Linked DNA regions of Sus scrofa. The protein of the gene in region 2 purifies or fractionates together with the protein of the main gene of each other region. This does not show direct contact. Links are inferred from orthologs where the notes say so. Each region holds a gene or a part of one and is shown on either strand. Other genes may lie near its edges.

Region 1 (7,298 bases), about 20 Mb from region 2:
GGTGGCAGCCCTCACTAGGGGTGTTCAAGCCAGACCCTCAGCAGCTCTATGTCTCTTCACTCGTGGGTGAATTTCTACTAGCATTCATCAAATTTGGGGAAATTAAAGGAAGTTCTTTATGAAGAACGAGGTGGGTGCATCCTTTGAATTTCTGACCCAAAACCTATACACCTAATGGACCACGTGCAGGGCTAGGATCTTGCCAAGGTGCAGCCGAAGCTGAAGGCAAACAGACGCTCGCAGCATCTCGTCCTCTCTGACGCCCAACCGAGAGCCCCCGGAGGCAGGAGCTCTAAAGGCAAGAAAGAGCCACACTTTTTCTGACCAAGAGAATAGAGGCAATTCAAACATTTAGATTTAAATTGCCTCAGGAAGACAACTACCTAGCTAGAAACCGACGGGGCGAGTGTAATACTCACTAAATTTCATGATTTTCCTGCCAGAATACCGAGACGGACGACCCTGAAGTCCAGTTTCTTCATAAGTGTCTTTATCCAGTGATAAAATTAATTTCCCTATAATCAAATAATAATTCCCATATGAGATGTTGAAAATAATATGTGTTCTCTAAGAGAAACCAAGGCAAATTGTGCAGTTAAATACCAGGGCACACAAGGACTCTTACTTAAGATTCAAGGATATTATTATGTATTAATACATACATCTTCTTATAATACGAGGGTACCGTTTATACATATTTATATTTTACAATATGAAGGTATTATTTAAACATTATATGTATAAAGAAATTATTTATTACAGTGAAATTAGAATTACCTAAATTTCTACTGAAAGAATAAATAAATGTATAAATGAATACAGTTCTTTGTATAGAATGTTTTTTTAAAACATTAAAAATGGTAGATTAAAAAAAAAAAAAAAAATGGTAGATTAGGAGTTCCCGACGTGGCTCGGCGGAAACAACTCCGACTAGGAACCATGAGGTTGCGGGTTTGATCCCTGGCCTCCTCAGTGGGTTACGGATGTTAACCTCAGCTCACGGTAAGGTGCTGCCATGAGCTGTGGTGTAGGTTGCAAACGTGGCTCGGATCCTATGTTGCTGGGGCTGTGGTGTAGGCCGGCAGCTGTAGCTCCGATTGGACCCCTAGTCTGGGAACCTCCATTTGCCATCAGTGCAACCCTAAAAAGCAAAGCAAAAAAAAAGGTAAATTAAAACTTCATGCACTACAATCGAGAGCTGTCTATGACATACAGTTTGGGAAAAAGGCAAAACGAGAAAATGGAGTACGACAGGTATTTTATAAAAAAAGAACCACCCGGGGGACTTCTCGCTGTGGTGCCACGGGTTAAGGATCTGGTGGTGTTGCAGCTGCAGCTCAGATTCGATCCCTGGACTGGGAACTTCCCTATGCCGCAGGTGCAGCCAGGCCGGGGTCTGTGTGTCTATAAATTCACAGAACACGTCTAGAAGAATAAACAGCACCCTGCTAACAACAGTTCTTCCAGGAAGGGGAGTGAGTTCGGAGGGAAGGGGATGAAGGGGGCTTCCACTCTTCCCCTGGAGCCCTGGCATTTTCTTTTTTACAGGGCGTACTTCCTTTACAATTACAGACAGAATGAAAAACGCAAGTCGTTACCGTTGGGCAGGAGGGCGGCAGCGTTATCCTCGTCGATGTTCGCGTTGTACGTTAGGGCAGAGCACGAACCTGGAAACGAAAAGCCCAGAGGAGAACGAAGGCGAGAAAAAAAAGGCCACTCCTGCAAAGGCTGCTGGAGTATTTTCACGTGATGACACCATCTTCCGGGTCACTGCTCCAGCTCCAGCTCCCTCAGGGGCCCTCCGACCCGACAAAGCAAAGCTGGAGGACACGAAGGCCAAGCATGGCTCGTCCACGTCGGCGCCCGGGGCCTGCTGGTGCCCGCGGACTCTACCATCGCACAGAAAATGGACTCAGGATGGAGTGCGTACCCTTGGGGATGCTGGCAGAGAGGCAGGAGGTGAGCGGGTAGGTGACTGTGCACACCTGAGAGGGAGAGGCCAGGTGAAGACTCAACTGCGCCAGGAACTTGCGTTCAAGTCAAGAAAGCTACTCAGGAGTTCCTGTCGTGGCTCAGCAGGAAGGACTCTGACGCGCCTCCAGGAGGAGACAGGTTCAATGCCTGGCCTCGCTCAGTGGGTTAAGGATCTGGCATTTTGCCGTGAGCTGTGGTCTGTCACAGACGTAGCTTGGATCCCGCGTTGCTGTGGCTGTGGTGTAGGCCAGCAGCTGTAGCTCCGATTCAACCCCCAGGCTGGGAACTTCCATATGCCGCAGGTGTGGCCCCCGCCACAAAAAAAGCAGAAACCACCATCTAATGAGCGCACACACTGGGAGATGAAGGGACCACACAGACGGTCTCTGCCAGCCCTACTCAAACAGGAGAAGCGGCAGCTCCCGTGCAGTTCAGCAGGTTAAGGATCTAGTGTTGTCGCTGCAGTGGCTCAGGTCGCTGCTGTGACTTGGGTTTAATCGCTGGCCTGGGAACTTCTACACGCCGAGGGCATGGCCAAATAAATAAATAAATGAGTTCCCGTCAGGGCTCAGCACTTAAGAACATGACTCAGCCGTTAGTATCCATGAGGATTTGGGCTGCATCCCTGGCCCCGCTCAGTGGGTTAAGGACCTGGCGTTGCTGTGGCGGTGGTGTAGGCCGGCAGCTATAGCTCCAATTCAACCCCTAGCCTGGCAACCTCCATATGCCCTGGTTGTGGCCCTAAAAAAAAAAAGCCCTAAAGAAACAAATAAATAAAAAAACAAGAAGAACTCTAGTACTTTGGTGCCCTCCCCCTGGATGTCATCTCACCACATTCACAGACACTACACGGCTTTTCTTACCTTTCTTTACAAAAGTATTAATGAATTCGTGGGTGATTAATTCATGAAGAGGTAAATCCTTCACAGAGTAATAAGGTCCAAACGCCATGACCAGGTCTTTCAGTTCTTTTGAGAGTATCCCACATTCAGGAATCAGAAAGGAAACCTATTGGTAGGCAGAATATAACAAGGCTTATTTTTAAAAGCTGAAGTATAGTGGACTTATAGCATTGTGTTCGTTTCACATGTAGAGCAGAGTGCGTGCGTGTTTTTGTAGATTTTAGTCCACGACACAGTTTAAACAAGTTTGACTTTCGTATAGATCAACACCCAGGTTTTTTCATTTCTGTATTGATGAGCAAAACAATTTTAATGGAAAGCTCTGGCTTTTGTCTTATGTTCTGCAAATGAACGATGTATTTTCGGTCCTGTTCCTTTCACTACATGAATTAACTTTTAGGAAAATATGGTACAAGTGCACATCCCCAGATCTGCGTAGCGGACAGCGGAATATCCCTACACCTGGTACCAGGCTGGAACCAAAGGAACTGTCCCTTAGGGCATAAGGAATTTAGGGACGCCAATTATTATGAGGCTTCAAAGAAGCAGAAGTCTGCTGGATGTTTCCACTTTTCAGGTAGAAAAACTCTACAGATGAGACCGGGGAGGTAAGGAACACATCCCAGGCTGCCTGTGACGAGCTCTCCATCCAAAGCAGAGATACTCAACCTGAAAGATTTCAAATGCTGCCCAAGTGCTCCACACCCTGAAAAACCACGCACCCAAAGCTGGGACACCAGTCTGGCCCAGAGGAACCAGCGTCACCACTTGTGTCTGAGGATGGGGCCGGTCAGGCCCGAGTTGAAATTAGGCTCATCGATTTAAAGTATAAAAGGCTTAAGCCATTTTCATTTTAAGGTTTTTTGAAGCCCCCTCCACTTAAATGGGTTGGTGAAGCTGGCCCACCAGACACTTGCCTGGGAGCTACAGAAGTTTTCTACTCTCAGCAGATGCTGGATAAACCAATAATTAACCTCCCTGGTGCCTCGCCCGCCGCACCCACGAAAAAGGCGCCCCGTGAGCTTGACCTTTTCACGAGGCAACAGCGAACATCGCTCTTACGTGCTCGCGAGCAGGGCCACCTCGGCGCCTTTCTGCCAAAGAGATGGCGAGAAGGTTCGCTTCCGTGGGACATCGCGGAAGGCACCAAGCAAAAGGCACAGTGTCTCAGACGTCTAACCAGGGCCGAGGGGCGGATCAGAACAGCCAGCAGCCTCCCGGCCAGACGGCGCGCGGTGCTCAGGAAAGACCCCCGCGGGCGGGCGCACTGGGAAAGGAAACCGGTTTGTGGAAGAGCGAGTCCGGTTCGGACCACGTGCGGGGCATTGCCCGCCTACCCCCGGCCCCGCCCCTCCCGGGACGCGCCCAATCTGCGACCCGGTGGGAACAAGCGGCCAGCCGCACGCCGCCCCGCTCCTTCCTCCAACGGCGGGACACCGCCCCGCGCCGGCGCATCCTGGGAGTTGTAGTCCTGTAGCGGGGCAAACCGCAGACCCGAACAGGCTAGGAGACTACAGTTCCCAGCATGCCTGGAGAGGCCCAAGCCCCTCCGCACGCCGAGGGCGGGCTCCCGAGGAAGAGAGCCCGGCTGTCCCAAGCCTCCCTCTCCTCCGCGCTATGGAGCTCGGTTCGCGGTCTCAGGGCGGAGACTTACCCTGTAATTGTAATAGTGCGTCTCCACGATATGCCGGTGGCGCGACTTGTCGTGGCCGAAGTTGGACTTCTCGCAGACCAGCAAGTGCCGGGGAACCTCCCGCAGCCTGCACAGCGTGGCCATACTCTCCCCGCGCGGGCCCTGCCGGGGCTCGGCTAGCCCCGCCCCTCCTCGCCCGCCCCGCCCCTCCTCGCCCGCCCCGCCCCTTCGCCGCGGGCATGCGCAGTGCCTGCAGGCCACACGTGTTCAGGCGGCCAGGGTAGGGGCGGGGCTGACGCAGAGTGCGGGACTAGGCTGACGGTGAACCCAGGGCAAAACTCGCTGGTGGGTACTGGGAAGGTGCGCTGCCCGAAATGAATGCTCTTGCCTGAATCCTTTCTCTAGACTGGGGTTGCTCCTTCCCAAGTTCTACACAAACTTTTGCGTAGAAAGGTAGTACTCAGTACCTTCAATAGGACTCCTTAAGACTTCTTCCGAGTTAATTTTTCTTTTTTTTTTTTGTCTTTTTGCTATTTCTTGGGCCGCACACGCGGCATATGGAGGAGGTTCCCGGGCTAGGGGTCCAATCGGAGCTGTAGCCGTCGGCCTACACCACAGCCACAGCAACACAGGTTCCGAGCCGCGTCTGCAACCTACACCACAGCTCACAGCAACACCGGGTCCTTAACCCACTGAGCAAAGTCAGGGATTGAACCCGAAATCTCATGGTTCCTAGTCGGATTCGTTACCACTGCGCCATGATGGGAACTCCCCAGAACTACTTTTAACATCCTTTTTTACATATCTTTTTGGAACTTTTTTTGGCTGCTCATGTGGCATGTGAACGGAACCTGAGCTACAGCAGTGACCCCAGCCGCTGCAGTGACAACTTCAGACCTTAGTCCACTGCTCCAGGCGGGAATCCCCTTTTGCAACTTTGTTTTTGTTTTTAGGGCTGCACCCGCTGGCATATGGAGGTTCCCAGGCTAGAGGTCAAATCCGAGGTGTAGCTGCTGGCCTACACCACAGCCACAGCAATGTGGAACTGCTTTTAATAATTTGTTGCTCTTGGAGGTTATAGTGATAACTCATTTTTCCATCTAATTTTTCTGCTTAACTCCAAGTACTGTACTACTCCACGCTTTTCAAACTGGAGGATGCACAGCCCCAGTTCTACACAGAGGATGCAAACAGAGTATTTGTGATACACCTTTCTGGAGCATTAATTTTACTAAAAGATTTGGAAGGACAGAAGTTAAGTGATTTAGGGGGTAAGTATTTGCAATTCCAAAACTAAGACGGAATTCCCGTTGTGGCTCAGCGGAAACAAATCCGACTAGTATCCATGAAGATGTGTGTGTGATGCCTGGCCTCATTCAGTGGGTTAAGGGTCCTGCGTTGCCGCGAGCCGTGGCGTAGGCCGGCAGCTGTAACTCTGATTCAACAACCCCTAGCCTAGGAACCTCCAGGGTGGGGCCCTAAAAAGCAAATATATATATATATATATATATATATATAATAAAACGAAGACAGACTGGAAAATCTTCTGCCATTAATGTCAGCGACCTATGCCTCAAATGTCAGATTATCTCAGAGCACTCTAAGCAAAACCTATTTTCCATTATTTTAAGTAGGAGAAAGAAGGAATAGCAAGTCAATCAAACAACTACCAATATCCTAAATCACAATATGGCATCTAGATGTAACTTATGAATATTGTATTAGAATATAAAATACTTAAAGCAATACTTCTTGGTTACCACACAATTCAATAGCAGTTGCTTCTCAACAACTATTGAACAACACCTGATCCTTCAACCCACGGAGACAGGCTAGGGATCGAACCCGCGTCCTCATGAATGCTAGTCAGATTCGTTTCCACTGAGCCATGACAGGAATTCCTGATCCTATTCTTAAAAACTTACTAAATAAATAAACTTACTAAATACAAAGATTTGGCACATAATATTTGGAATTTTTTTCAATTTTTTTTGAAAAAAAATTATGGCATTACCATTGTGGCTCAGCAGTGACAAATCCAACCAGTATCCATGAGGATGTGGGTTCGATCCTTGGCCTCACTCAGTGGGTTAAGGATTCCAAGTTGCTGTGGTTGTGGGGTAGGCCGGCAGCTGCAGCTCTAATTTGACCCCTAGCCTGGGAACTTCCATATGCCATAGGTGCAGCCATAAAAAAAAGAAAAGACAAAAAGAAGACAAAACCTAATTCCATGTGCAAGGATGGGCTCTAGCTCCAGACTCATGCACTGTGCTCTTCTCCCAGCCATGGACTGCCATCGGGGTTTCTGAGATTAGAAGCTAAAAATGCCCTACAAATAAGAAATGCTGGAGAGGATGTGGAGAAAAGGGAACCCTCCTACATGGTTGGTGGGAAGGCTAACTCGGTACGGCCGCTATGGAGAACAGTCTCCAGTCAGAAAACTAAGGATCGAGTAATGGTATGATCCAGCAATCCCACTCCTGGGTATATCATATACCCAGACAAAACTATCATTCAGAAAGATACATGCAGGAGTTCCCGTCGTGGCGCAGTGGTTAACGAATCTGACTAGGAACCATGAGGTTGCGGGTTCGGTCCCTGCCGTTGCTCAGTGGGTTAAGGATCCGGTGTTGCCGTGAGCTGTGGTGTAGGTTGCAGACGCGGCTCGGATCCCGCGTTGCTGTGGCTCTGGCGTAGGCCGGTGGCTACAGCTCCGATTCAACCCCTAGCCTGGGAACCTCCATATGCCGAGGGTGCGGCCCAAAGAAATAGCAAAAAGACAAAAAAAA
Region 2 (6,681 bases):
CAGAGGAGGAAACCAAAACCCCTGTACATCCTTTTAGGGGGTTTCTTTGACCCAGAATGGTCTGGTTTCTTTAGGAAGATCACAGGGGTCTCTGTACCTCTAGACTGAAATTAAGTTGAATGACAGTTGCTCTCGTGGGTCTAGAAGTTGAGGAGTTTTGTTCAGGGCAGAGATTGGGCATCAAGGTTAGAAAGAAGGTTTAAAAAAAAAGAGCTAGAAGGTTAAAAAAAAAAAAACTTAAGAAAGAAGGTTAGGAAAGGGGGCTAAAGAAACAGATTCCTAAAGACTGCTGAAGAGAAGAGTGGCTTTGGTTGCCATCATGGGTAGGACTGACCGGAGGTAGGAATGCGGGGAAGAAAGAGAACCCAGGTCTCTGCCTCAGCCTTCAGCAGAGCTGGCTTATCACCTGCCTCCTTGTAGTTGCTCGTCTCTAAGAGCTGTTACCTTGCTCATCTGGAGAGGCAAGGTGCAGGAGCTCCTGCAAGACGTGTCTACCCCTTCACTGCTTTCCCAACCTGGAGAGGAGAGAGTCAGGTATTAGAAGAAAGAGAAAAGTATTCCTATCCAAAGCCCCTGCCTTAAAGAATGCTACTGAGTAGCTGCTCCCAAGTTGTCAGCCTTGTTACCTGGCTAAGGTGTCCAAGCTGGACGGGGGAAAGAAAATGGAGTCTTCCTCACCCTGGGACAGGGTAGAAGGGGGTGGTATGTATAGGGAAGGGCCAGATAGGCAACTTCCTTTGGCCTGTGTGCATATGGCCTGGAACTAGTGTTCACAAGAGCCAATTTTTTTGCTTGTTTGTTGCCATCCTTCACCTTTTGCCATTTCTCCTATCAGAGAATGTAAGTCATTTTTATGTTAGGCCAAAATAAACAAACTGTAGGGTACATATGTTGTCAAAAAAGGTAAAGCAATGCATGCCAAACCAAACTAAAATGACTGGATTATCTGCTACTTGGGTAATCAGGGGTTCACTGAAGATTAGGATAAGAAACTGCAGTTTATTGAGGGCATTTCAGCTCCTCCTACCACCTCAACAGGACTTTGTCCAGACTCTCCTCTTACCTTTGTGCCTTGACTGTGGTTCTTTGTGGCAAGATGCTTTGGTTGGTAAAACAAAATATGGAACAAAGGATCCACTGAAGTGATCTCTGTGTCGTGTGGTAATTTGATGACAGCTTCTGTTGATGTATACGATTCTTTGGTGTTAAAAATGCATGTTCCTGGGCCCACCCTCAGTGATTTGTCCCAATCTGGGATGAGCCTGGGCATGTACCTTTTTTTTTTTTTTAATGACCGCACCTGCTGCATATGGAGGTTCCCAGGCTGGGGGTTGAATCGGAACTGCAACTGCCAGCCTACATCATAGCCACAGCAACACCAGATCCTTAACCCAATGAGCGAGGCTAGGGATCAAACCCCCCTCATGGATACTAGTCAGGTTCCTTTCCACCGAGCCTTTTAAAGAATACTTCTCATTTGAGTCTGGGGACTGTTCTGAAACTTATCCAAGAGGAAATTTCAGCCATTTCCTTCAAGCTGGAGGCCTGGTTCCCTATCCAGCCTGACGGGGGTTGAGAGAAGAGAGAACTCTCATCCTCTCCTGACTTGGGCTGCCCTCTCCCTATCTCAGGGATTATTCCTGTTCTGTGGCTCTACATCTAAACCTCAGGACACAGTGATTATTAACTATGAAACAGAGGTAAACATATGATGTCCAATAGCAAACAGAGTCAGAAGGCAAGGGGAGGGATATGAAGCATTATATATGTCTGTGCTGGGGGAGAGGGGGTGTTGTTGACATGTTCCTGTACTCTCCCCTACTGCGTGTCCAGAACGGCATGACAGGAAGTGTGTTTCTTTAAGTGGAATAGATTGGGAGTAAGCTGGGCTTTCTGAAGGCCAGGAGCCCTCTTCCTCGACTCTTTCCAGCTTCCCCACCACTGGCGCCAGTGCTTCTTTTGAGTATATAACCCACTCCTTTAGTCTGTAGATCTTCCAGGCCATCTGCCTTTGGCTTCAGGAGCATAGGGCAGGAAGTAGCTGGGTATGAATTGTGCATAACCATCTCCCCAACCTACCTGCACAAAGAGACCAGTCTTCTGTCCTGAAAATGTTTAGCAGTTTAAGATTTTCTCCGGCTCCACTGGTCTCTCCAGTCTTTATCTAATATTATCGTGGGCATGAGGAAGACTAAAAGGAAGCCAAGGAGTTCCCTTGTGGCTCAGCGGAAATGAATGTGACTAGTATTCATGAAGATGCAGATTTGATCCCTGGCTTCGCTCAGTGGGTTGGGGGGGCTCCGTCCTTACTACGCTGTAGCGTAGGTCGCAGACGTGGCTCGAATCCCATGTTGCTGTGGCTGGGGCGGGGCGGGGTTGTTGGGGGTGGAGACAAAGCAAAACATAGACACCCCCTGGTTTGGATTACCCGCAGCAGGTGGGTTTGCAATTAGATGGGTTTGTGCGGCCGCACGGTGGCGCCGGATTGAGGAATGCCCACGGCCCCCAGGAACTACACTTCCCAGGAGGCTTTGCGCGGACGCCCCGGGCGGGGCTACCTCCAAGAGCGGGGCCTGTGAACTTTAGGGTGCGGAGCTGCCGCGCGCGGAGTGGATGGCGGGGCAGGTGAAGGACCGCGAGGCCTTCCAGAGACTCAGCTTCTTGTATCAGGTGAGTCTGCGTCGCAGCCCGCGCGTACGGAAGTGGTCCAGGGTGGCGGGCCCCCAGTGACGGCTCCGTCCCTCAGGCCGCCCATTGCGTTCTCGCGCAGGACCCGGAGAACCAGGCGCTAGCGAGGTTTTACTGCCACACGGAGAGGACCATAGCGAAGCGGCTCGTCTTGCGGCGGTGAGAGGGGCACGAAGCCCGACGGCGGTGGGCGAGTCCAGGGAAGGACGGGAGGGAGAGAGCAGGCGCCTAGACCATTATCCGCAGGCGCCTAGACCATTATCCACTTCCGCCTCCAGGGACCCCTCGGTGAAGAGGACCCTCTGCCGTGGCTGCTCTTCCCTCCTCATTCCGGGCCTGACCTGCACCCAGCGCCAGCGACGTGAGTGCTCCCTTCTGCTGGGGAATGTCCGTGGGCTGGGGGAGGGGAGGGCAAGTCTCCTTCCCGGGTTTAAATGGGTGCCAGGTGTGGGATATGGAGGCGGAGGCTTTCTCTAGCTCTGAGTTAAATTAACTCCGCCTGGATAGACTAGGTCTGGGCAGTAGAGAAATGATGTTGCCTTGAGAGGCGCCTCGCCCGTGCGTGATAATAGATGTTATTTGGCACCTGGAAGACATGCTTTCCATCTTCATTTATTCATTCAACTGTTATTTTTTGAGATGTGTCCGGCATTGCGCTAGAGTGTGATGGGACAAAGTAAGACAGAAACAATTAGAATAGCATAGAAATAGAGTTCCCGTTGTGCCTCGGCGGGTTAGTGTCCGTGAGAATGCAGGTTCGATCCCTGGCCTCTCTCAGGGAGTTAAGGATCCAGCGTTGCCCCAAGCTAGGGTGTAGGTCGCAGATGCAGCTCCGATCCTGCGTGACTGTGGTGTAGGCCTCGGTTGCAGCTCTGATTCAACCCCTAGCGGGAGAACTTCGCATAAGCCACAGGTGAGGCATGAAAAAGAAAATAGAATAGCATAGAAAATGCTTTAATTGGGGGACTAGTATACAAATTACTTCAACTACTGATGGTGAGGTTCATTATAAGCAAAGGGAGTGGGAAATGGAAATCCTAGGTGTTTGTATTAGACCTCAGACCAAAGAGCTTGTGGTCCTCCAAGCTCAGGAGGCTGGAGTTTGAGGTGGGCAAAGGCAAGACATGAGGCTGGAGAGGGAAACAGGGTAGACCTGAAGAATCTTGTTAAGGAGTTTGGATTTTATCTTAAAGGGCACCAAGAAATTGACAGTGTTTATGCAGGGACCTGACACCATCAAATGTGTATGCAAAGTACAGAGGGGATGGAATCCCTACTGGAGAACAGTGGAGGCAAAACTGGGTACAGGAGACCTTTTCTTTTCCTAAACGTGGACACTCTCTTTTCCCCACATGCACGCCAGGCTGCAAGGGTCAGCGCTGGACTGTACAGACCTGCCTAACATGCCAGCGCAGCCAGCGGTTCCTCAACGATCCTAGGCATCTGCTCTGGGGCGACCGGCCTGAGGCCCAGCTAGGGAGCCAGACAGGTGAGAGGTGGTAAAGGAAATGGGGGTACCTTCTGGGCGTTGAAGCAGTGGGTAACATAGAGCTGCTAAGGACATGTAGGTGAGTTCTGGGTTGGTGTGAAAGGTGCCAAGGCTTACAAAATTAATTCTGCTCATCTACTCAGATCCCACACCACCACAGCCCCAGCCAAACACAGCCAACCCCATCCCAGCCCACCTTCCTGAGGAGAAAGTGCAGCCTCAGAGCTCCAGTCACCAGTGATGGATTTACCCTACCTTCCAAATAAACTTTAATTCTGTTTAACTTTGCGTGATTCTGTTCTGTGAGTACTTAAGCTCTGAACTCCGTTTTTCTCTGTTTCTGTCTGTATTTCTCTGTCACCAGCTAACCTCTTCTTTGTTCTTTTTGTCCTTTGTCTTGATCATCCTCACACTCCCACTATTCAGGGAGATGCCAATGTCTATAGACCACTTGGCCCCACCAAGCAGCCCCCATTTCCAGGACTGTGACAGCAGTGCCCCTCCACTCCTGCTTCCTCAGTGCTGTGCCACATCTGGAGCTCAGGCTCCAGGGTTGCCTGTAAGGGTGCAAGCCTTCCTAGGGCTAGGGCAGCCCATCAACAGCCAAAGCCACAGCAACACAGGATCCAAGCCGAGTCTTTGACCTACACTACATCTCACAGCAATGCCAGGTCTTTTTACCCAATGAGTGAGGCCAGGGATCAAACCCGAGTTGTCATGGATCCTAGCGGGGTTCATTACCACTGAGCCACAACAGGAACTCCCCTGATGCTTTGTTTGTGTTTTTTGTTTTTGTCTTTTGTCTTTTTAGGGCCGCACCTGCAATGTATAGAGGTTCCCAGGCTAGGGGTCCAATCGGAGCTGTAGTTGCCAGCCTACACCACAACCATAGCAACTCGGGATCTGAGCCGCATCTGTGACCTACACCGCAGCTCACAGCAATGCCGAATCCTTAACCCACTGAGCGAGGCTAGGGATCGAGCCTGCCTTCTCATGGATGCCAGTAAGAATTGTTTCCAATGAGCTATGATGGGAACTCCTGATGCTCTGTTTAAATGAAGAAAAAAAGTTCGGGTGAGGTTGGCAAAGGGAGGGTTCAGATTCTCCAGGACCACTTTATTTTGGGTCTTTCCCAATCTCTGGGTTTCTTCTATAAGATTCTAACATGGGAAACTGTACAGGAGTTCCTGCTGTGGCAAAGTGGGTTAAGACTGGCTACAGTGGCTTGGGTCACTGCAGAGATGCAGGTTCAATCCTTGGCCCAGCACAGTGGGTTAAAGGATCCTGCATTGTCACAACTGTGGCATGGGCCACAGCTGCAGCTCGAATTCAATTCCTGGCCCAGAACTTTCCACAGGCCACAGGTGCTGCCAAAAAAGAGAGAAACTATACAACCTGAACTAACAAAAGGACAGGCAGGAGTTCCTGTTGTGGCTCAGTGGTAAAGAACCCCACTCGTATCCATGAGTTTCAATCCCTGGCCTCACTCAGCAGATTAAAGATCTGGCATTGCCGTGAGCTGTGGTGTAGGTTGCAGACATAGCTCAGATCCCACATTGCTGTGGCTGTGGTGTAAGCTGGCATCTATAACTCTTATTGGACCCTAGCCTAGGAATCTCCATATGCCACAGGTATGGCCCTAAAAAGACCAAAAAAAAAGACTCTGGCAGATATTATACAAGTATGCTCTGTAGGTAAACCATGAGCAGGTTTGGGGAAGTCTAGGGGTGTTTAAAAAAAAAAAAGTTTACTTGAAAATTGGTAATAAAAAATTGTTTTATTTGATATCCCTGGAGGATACTCAAGGACAGATTTTCAGATTGACCTCTTTGCTAGGTGCCAGGTAATCAGTTTATCCCAAAAGTATACAAACAAAGTTCACTATTCCCAAAATGCAGTTTTCTTTCTTTCTCTTATAAATCCTGTGTTGCACGTCCTCACTGCTACCTAAAAATCACTGCATTACATTGTAGCTTGAAGCAACAATGATGTGTTACATCCTCTGATTCTGTGGGCTAGGCTGACTGAGGGCTTGGTCAGGTGGTTCTTCCGTTCCATATGGCATCAGCTGGAGTCACTCAGCTGCATTTAGCTGGTAGCTGGTATGTGGTCTGGAAGACTCAAGAAGCTTCATTAGCCTGTATGACACCTTATTGCTTCACCATATGGCCTTGCTACTTGACTGGCTTTGATATCCCTGCAGCATGGTCAGACTTCTTACCTGGTTTCTGGCATCTGCAGACAATGTTCCAAGAAGACAAACTCCAAGGTGCAAGTGTTTATTAAGCCTCTGTTTTCATGCTTGCTAATGTCCCCTTGACCAGAGTAAAGTCATGTGGCCAAGCCCAGGTTCAGTGTGGAAGGAGCTACACTGGGGCGTGAATACCAAGTTCTTTGGTTCCTGAAGACCACAGTGTAGCAATCTACCACATCCTCATTTTGCCTTTATCCTTGATTCATTCTCTCCACTGATTTCCTTCACATGTTGGTACATTATTCGCGTG
Region 3 (7,301 bases), on a different chromosome or scaffold from region 2:
TATTATTATTATTATATCTTTTACGGTGATCTCTGATGACTGATATTTGACATTACTGTTGAAAACTGTTTTGGGACCCCACAAACCATGCCCACTTAAGACGCCAAATGTAATTGTTGAAATGACAAGGAGGATTTAGAATAAACCACACAAATGTGGCTAATAAAGCAGTTACAGGTATGAGAAGACCCCAATTTTGAAAGAAGATCTACTGTGGGTAAAATGCTATTAAACAGCACTGCAAGCTACAGAGAAATTTTTAGTGCAAGTAAGACAATTCATGCAGCAAACTGGAGTTGGAGTTCCTGCCGTGGCTCAGCAGGTTAAGAATGGACTAGTTATCCATGAGGATGCGGGTTCCATCCCTGGCCTTGCTCAGTGGATTAAGGATCCTGTGTTGCTATGAGCTGTGGTATAGGTGACAGATGTGGCTCACATCCAGGATTGCTGTAGCTGTGATGCAGGCCAGCAGCTGCAGCTCCGATTCAACCCCTAGCCTGGGAACTTCCCTATTCCACATGTGCAACCCTAAAAAGAATAAAAAAAGAAAAAAGAAAAAACAAAGTGCCATAGCCACCCCAATCTTCAGCATCTGCCACCTTGATCCATCAGCAGCCTTTAGCATCAAGGCAAGAGCTTCCACCAGCAAGAAGATTATAACTTGCTGAATATACAGATGAGGGTGAGCATTTTTAAGCAATACGGTATTTTTAAATTAGGCATATATATATATAGTTTTAAGACATAATGCTAACCTCACACTTACTGAAGTACAGTACACTGTAAGCATAGCTTTAATATGCACCAGGAAACTAAAACATTCGTGTGACTCACTTTATGCAGTGGTCTGAAATCAGACCTGTAATATCTCTGAGATATATCTGCACAGTTAGAGAAAAAAACATGCATATTAAACTACACGATGAGATATTTTAAAGGTTGCAGGACTTCAGAAAGATGATCAGAGTACTGAATTGACAGTAAGAGAATGCTTTCTGGAAGAGCTGAGTCTTTATGGAAAGTAAGACCGGTAGACAGAGGAAGGGAACCACACATATGACTGCATGTCTGAACCAAATGAACAGGTGTTATGCTTCTTACACCATGCACTTACCTGTACAACTGGCAAAGTTGTAAAAAGCTCCGAAACAGCTACTGGTTTTTCAATTTCCTATAACAAACAACAAACAGTCACCCTAGATGGTACATGTTAATGTGATGAAACATAACAGAACACTTACAACAGGTTTTCAGTAAGATAATTAAAAAAATAAAACGAAACAAATTTCTGTTACTCAGAAACACCAAGTTGTGCATGTCATTTTTAACGTAGAAAGCTGAAGAGCAGAGCAGCAGCTGAGAATATCAATGGATAGGAGGGATGAACAATAGTTCGGAGACTGAAACAATCTGTAAGGAATGGCTGTTGGCCTGAAGGGAGATATACATATTTGCTAGCATGTTGGAGAGGGAAATCATGAGTCACTGACAGAAATATAAAAAGAACTAAATATTGTGATTACAGTTTAGTCAATAACAATGCACTTTAAGTTACTGAAAGTTAATTAACATCAAATCAACTATAAGAATCCTTATACCATGCCCTAGCACTTCACTAAAAACCTTATCATTTGCACAAATATTCATCAGCTCAACTGTTAACATATAAGACAGTGCAGAAGTTCCTGTTGTGGCACAGTGAGTTAAGATTCTGACTGCAGCAGCTTAGGTCGCTGCAGAGGTATGTGTTCAATCCCCAGGCCAGTGCAGAGGGTTGATGCATCATGCCTTGCCATATCTGCGGTGCAGGTTGCAGCTATGGCTCAGACTCAATCCCTGGCCTGGGAACTTCCATATGCCGCAGATGCAGAACTTAACAAAAAAAAAAAAAAAAAAAAAAAAAAAAAAAAAAGGAGTTCCTGTTGTGCGTCAACTAATATCCATGAGGACGTGGGTTTGATCCTTGGCCCTGCTCAGCGAGTTAAGGATCCGGCACTGCCATGAGCTGCAGCAAAGGTGGCAGACGCAGCTTGGACCTGGCGTTGCTATGGTTGTGGTATAGGCTGGCAGCTTCAGCTCTGATCCATCCCCTAGCCTGAGAACTTCCATACGCCGTCGGTGCTGCCCTAAAAAAAAAAAAAAAAAAAGGGTAAAATAAAAAAATAAACAAAAAATAAAAAAAGACAGTGTACAAAGAGTGAACTTAACAAATATGCTCATCTGCAGCTTCTATATTACAAATATACACACAAATAATTATAAATGCTAGTTATTATTAACTTCAGAAATTGTATTTTACCTGTTTCTTTTCCTTAAATTCAACAACATGATTGATGGCAACAACTGAATAGCCCACTGAAAAGAAAAATTGAACATTCTTATTAAATACAATAACCTCTCTTCCCTGTACACATAGGCTCATCCCAATTCATATCAAGACTAGAAGATAGTTAGAAGAATGGTTATGGGACAGGCTCTGGAGTCAGACTGCCAGTTTTCAAATCTTAAGTTACTTTAAGTTTCAGCTTCTTCATCTATCATATGGTGTTAATAACAGAATTTACCCCATATAACTGTCATGAGAACTAAATGAGATAACACACATAGCATGTTTAAAAATGGTGGCTGGCACAGAGTTAGGGTTTTGTTTGACCTGGGTGATGTATTATTAGCAAGACACAGAAGACCCTTAACTTTGTGCATCTCCTTTCAACCATCATTCTCTTTCAGGCCTTTTTTCATTTTCATCCCATCAAATTATATTTTTTCACTGTTATCTTCATTCTTACTCATTTTGTTTGCTCTTTACCCCTTCTGCTTTTTCAGAGGCCCCTGTGCTAAGGAGAAATGGAATAAGGACTCCCTTACATGCCACTGTCCCCATCCCCTTTTGAGTTGCCCACCAACAAGAGATTGGGAACTCTCTGAAGTCAGAGCCTAGTTTATCAGCCTCAACACAGCACTGTTTTTGGACATATGGACTACCAAAAATACATCTAAATCATGACTTAAAACGTTGAGTTAAACACCAATGGGGAGGACAGGATATTAATATTAAAGAAATAATGCATATCGGAGTTCCTGTTGTGGCTCAGCAGTAATGAACCTGACTAGTATCCAAAAAGCTGCAGGTCTGATCCCTAGCCTCATTTAGTGGATTAAGAATCCAGTGTTGCCACGAGCTGTGGTGTAGGTTCAAGCCTCCACCAGGATTCCATGTTGCTGTGGCATAGGTGGGCAGCTGCAGCTTCAACCCCTAACCAGGGAACTTCCATACCCTAAGGGTACGGCCCTAAAAGGACTAAATAAATAAATAACATATATTAATGCCAAGATAGTGGTCTTCCCTCTCAATAGTTTTTCCAATTTCCTTCTTTCTTTCCTCCTTCAAATGAGGATCCATTACTTGATAGGCCCTGCAGATATCTCTCTCTCTCTCTCTTTTTTTTTTTTTTTGCTTTTTAGGGCCGTACCTGTGGCATATGGAAGTTCGCAGGCTAGGGGTCGAATCAGAGCTATAGCTGCCAGCCTACACCACAGCCACAGCAACACGGACTTCAAGCCGCATCTGTACACCGACGCTCACCCCAACGACGGATCCTTAACCCGCTGACAGAAGCCAGGGGTAGAACCCACATCTTCATGGATACGAGTTAGGTTGTTACCGCTGAACCACAACCGGGAACTTCGAAGAAATGTCTTTATTTTTAAACCCCTCTATCTCCACTTAGACACTTTAAGTCTAAGGAAGAAGGCAGAAGTCGCGATTAACTTCGATTAGAACGATCTTACCTCTCAGGGCTTCTGCTTTCCTTGGATTCAAATACGAGTAACATTCTAGCATTCTGGCCATGCTGGTCCCTTCCCAACCTCTTGGTGTGTCCTACGCCTCAACCTACCCTCCCTCTAAATAACATTATTCCAACACTCGCAGCCCCACGTCCCACCACCCCCGCCCATTTTCGGAGCACCCAAAGCACTCCCCATCTGTGCACCAACCAGCTTTCCGCATTTGACTGAGTCAGTACACAGTGGTGAGAGGTAGGAAGGGGCGATATTAAAAGCACAGGTGGAGACTAGCTTTGGCCAGCCTTCAGCTGTGAGGCCCTATATAAGTCCCTGGCCCTGTTAGGACCTCAGTTCCCCAATTCACAATAAAGAAGGAGCTGGACTGGGTAACAGTTCCCCAGCGCTTTTCGAGTTTCCCGGGCCCGGGATCACAGCAACCCCGCAGAAGGCATCAGCTTCCAGAGACTGCCTCCAGACCCCAGAAGACCTGAATGAGGCCCGGCCGCGTCCCTTCCGAACGTGGCCCGACGATCTGGATGGCAGCGAGGCTGGGCAGGCACCGCTGCTCGCGAAGCCGCGGCGACTCACGGTAAGCGGCGTTCTCCACGAGCCCACGCAGCGCCTTGAGGTCGGAACCCGCTCGCAGGTCCAAATCCACGAACACCGCCATGCTGAAATCACGTGAACTTGCGCGGCTGTCTGCGCAGCCGCAGGGCCCGCCCCCTCGGGGCACGCTGGGAATTGCAGTTTTCCTAAGCAGTCCTCCCGTCCCTCCCGCGGACTGACGTTCCCAGGCTCTTTGAGCGCCTTCGGATCCCAGCAGAAGTTAGTGTGTGGAAGTCAGCAGCCTCACTTCAGTTCTTCTTCCTCTGGATGGGAAAGTTTTGTTTCCCTCGAAGGGGTTCACATAGCCCACCATTCCTCCTGTGAAATAATGTAGAAAATGATTCTTTCAAAATGTACGTATACAGCATTTATTGAGGACTTACAGGGAAAGAAGGTCTGGAAACCCTTAAAAAGTAAGGGTTTTAAATCCGTTTTTCTTTCCCGCCCCTAAAGGTCATTCCATTGTTTAAATTGGACTTAATGGGGAGATGGGGAAACTGACCTGACAACTCGAAAAAGGTTTGCTCGAGAAAAAAGTCATTTTGCTCAATCAGAACAGACGGTGGCACAGCATGCTAAACTCCATTACAGCCAGTATTCTCAACCTGGAGTTGGCAGGGATAAGCGGTTAGCTTCAGCACGTGTTTAGCCAAAAATGGGTTAGACAAGGGAGGTGCACAATTGAAATGTTTTACAGTTTTCCGTCTGACAGATGTACAAGGTGGAATATATCCCACAGTTGTGATGGTTCCACATTTTCGTACACATGAACTCTTGAAGAGTGATAAATTAATTATCCGAGAACATAAAACTCTGGAACTAGAGTTTACATCACTGCTTTACAAAGTACCCGTGATTACTGGGTCAGTTCACCGAGTTCCCAACCCCCCTCCCTCCACCAGTTCTTCTAGCACCAGTAGTGATCCATTGTCCTTTACCCACAGGCAGCTCTGGCCTCAAAAGATTAATCTAACATCTGAACTGCTCTATACTAGACTGAATAAGAGTCCACAAATCAGGGGCTTGGATCTCCAGACTATGCCAAAGGGATGTGAAAGTTTGTAAACATTTTCCGTTTCTTTGCTAACTTGTCACAGACAGTACACAGAGTCTCGGGTTTGTGGGCCACATCTTGATTTGTTCTTTACATGACTTCTTTCTTGGTCTCAGAAGGGAATTTTAAGAGGGATCTGTTCCATGTGGTAGTATGTAATTCTCCTTTTGGTTAAGTTCAATAAAAAAGAAATCTTCTGCTATCTAATATTTGATGTTTTCTAAGTAAGAACAGAAGAAAATTTTACTTCTGCAAATAGAAGAAAGTCATATAAAACAAACTCTGGCTTCTCATCTGAAAATCTCGTGTTAATTTTGCAGGAAGATCTAGTGTTAATTTTATAGGCGTCTTCATCTGCAGCCACAAAACCTAAATTGTTTGGAAATATGTCCGATGTGTGGTGAAGGTGAATAAGATGACTCATTATTTGATACCAGAATTAGACTACAGAGGGCTTCTTTCTTTGAAAGTCATGACGCTGTTTCTGTGGACTGTATACCCTTTAAACTTCTTATCTTCACCCTGGGCTTAGAAGGGAGGAAGAAGGACGAAAAAGAAAATGAATGAACGACAGTCACTGAGCAGTCTACTGAGGGCCAGCCTATTTGCTAAGTAGTTGCCTGCATGTTTAATTTTCAAAACAACTGAGTTAAGTGCTGCTTTTTCCACAACCTCTGCATTTTACATTTGAATCATCTGAGGCTTAGGTCATTGTGGTAGGACCACAGGTGGATCCAGGTGGCTTGGATCTATTCTCATGTCTCTATGTACTGTCTCCTGGACAAAGCAAGCAGAGAGGAGAGTTGGAGGATGGAAAAGAGGAGGGAGTAAAGACAGGGGAAAGGAAGAGGAGAATGAAGGGCGGGGGTGGGGGGAGAATGAATGGAGGGGGAGGACAGAGGAAGTAGGGAGAGAGGGAAAGGAAAGGAAGGAGATAGAAGAGGGAAGGAGGAGTGGGAAGAGAGAAAAAAGAGAATGCCATAGGGGAGATGAGAAGGGAAGAGGAGCCAGAAGTTGACTTGGGGAGTTCCAGTCGTGGCGCAGTGGTGAATGAATCCGACTAGGAACCATGAGGTCGCGTGTTCCGTCCCTGCCCTTGCTCAGTGGGTTAAGGATCCAGCGTTGCCTTGAGCTGTGGTGTAGATTGCAGACGCGGCTCGGATCTGGCATTGCTGTGGCTCTGGCGTAGGCTGGCGGCTACAGCTCCAATTCGACGCCTAGCCTGGGAACCTCCATATGCCACGGGAGCTGCCCAATAAATAGCAAAAAGACCAAAAAAAAAAAAGTTGACTTGGATAGGTAGCTGCAACAGCAAGGATCTGGAGTTAGAAGAAGACTGAAAAATTTCTGACTGGAACATAATAGGACTATAGATTTACTCTATGTAATTCCTATCTGCTGTCCAATCCTCTCAACCAGCCCATGAGAGAGTTATTGTTTTTCATATCATATCAGGTAGGAATCCTGGACTCAAAGATGACTCTTCAGTCATTTCCTCTTCCTTAGGGAGCCGAGAAAGAGAGGGTGGGCTTGAATATCCAAAACAACCTTCAAGCCCTATTTGGTCTCCCTGAAGACTTCTTTTTCTCGGACTGGCCCCTCAGTGCCAGCGCACGCTTGGTTGGTCTTTGGCTTTATCCTCTTCTCATTTGGATCACCCTTCCTGAGTGAGCTGAGAAGCATTCCTCCTGATCTTGGAGAGACAACAGTGAGTGGTGGCTGAAGTGAGATCTTAATTCTCTGCTCATAAATTAACCCTGGGAAGCCTGGATGAAAACCAGGAATCCTAGCCACTAGATGAGCTGGAGGCTAAAAGCAGAATTACCCTGATTCTTGTCCCCCACTGAAAGCC

What was found.
Region 1: the proteins of RPP21 (region 2) and RPP40 purify together in Homo sapiens (co-immunoprecipitation; 3 studies listed by BioGRID and IntAct, counting the BioPlex papers as one, with this or other methods). This does not show direct contact. The link is inferred for Sus scrofa from reciprocal best matches to the Homo sapiens genes RPP21 and RPP40.
Region 3: the proteins of RPP21 (region 2) and RPP30 purify together in Homo sapiens (co-immunoprecipitation; 3 studies listed by BioGRID and IntAct, counting the BioPlex papers as one, with this or other methods). This does not show direct contact. The link is inferred for Sus scrofa from reciprocal best matches to the Homo sapiens genes RPP21 and RPP30.

The regions. Positions count from the first base shown.
Region 1 is NC_010449.5:3,000,590-3,007,887, forward strand, and holds the start of RPP40 (ribonuclease P protein subunit p40), read right to left. Parts: upstream 4,711-7,298; 5' UTR 4,654-4,710; coding exon 4,531-4,653; intron 4,144-4,530; exon of another isoform or gene 3,905-4,143; intron 2,983-3,904; coding exon 2,838-2,982; intron 1,668-2,837; coding exon 1,599-1,667; intron 516-1,598; coding exon 420-515; intron 1-419. UniProt on the Homo sapiens protein: Component of ribonuclease P, a ribonucleoprotein complex that generates mature tRNA molecules by cleaving their 5'-ends. Also a component of the MRP ribonuclease complex, which cleaves pre-rRNA sequences.
Region 2 is NC_010449.5:23,061,829-23,068,509, forward strand, and holds RPP21 (ribonuclease P protein subunit p21), read left to right. Parts: upstream 1-2,537; 5' UTR 2,538-2,613; coding exon 2,614-2,670; intron 2,671-2,746; coding exon 2,747-2,847; intron 2,848-2,966; coding exon 2,967-3,049; intron 3,050-4,051; coding exon 4,052-4,177; intron 4,178-4,320; coding exon 4,321-4,418; 3' UTR 4,419-4,459; downstream 4,460-6,681. UniProt on the Homo sapiens protein: Component of ribonuclease P, a ribonucleoprotein complex that generates mature tRNA molecules by cleaving their 5'-ends.
Region 3 is NC_010456.5:102,563,211-102,570,511, reverse strand, and holds the start of RPP30 (ribonuclease P protein subunit p30), read right to left. Parts: upstream 4,711-7,301; 5' UTR 4,460-4,710; coding exon 4,378-4,459; intron 2,356-4,377; coding exon 2,300-2,355; intron 1,172-2,299; coding exon 1,115-1,171; intron 1-1,114. UniProt on the Homo sapiens protein: Component of ribonuclease P, a ribonucleoprotein complex that generates mature tRNA molecules by cleaving their 5'-ends. Also a component of the MRP ribonuclease complex, which cleaves pre-rRNA sequences.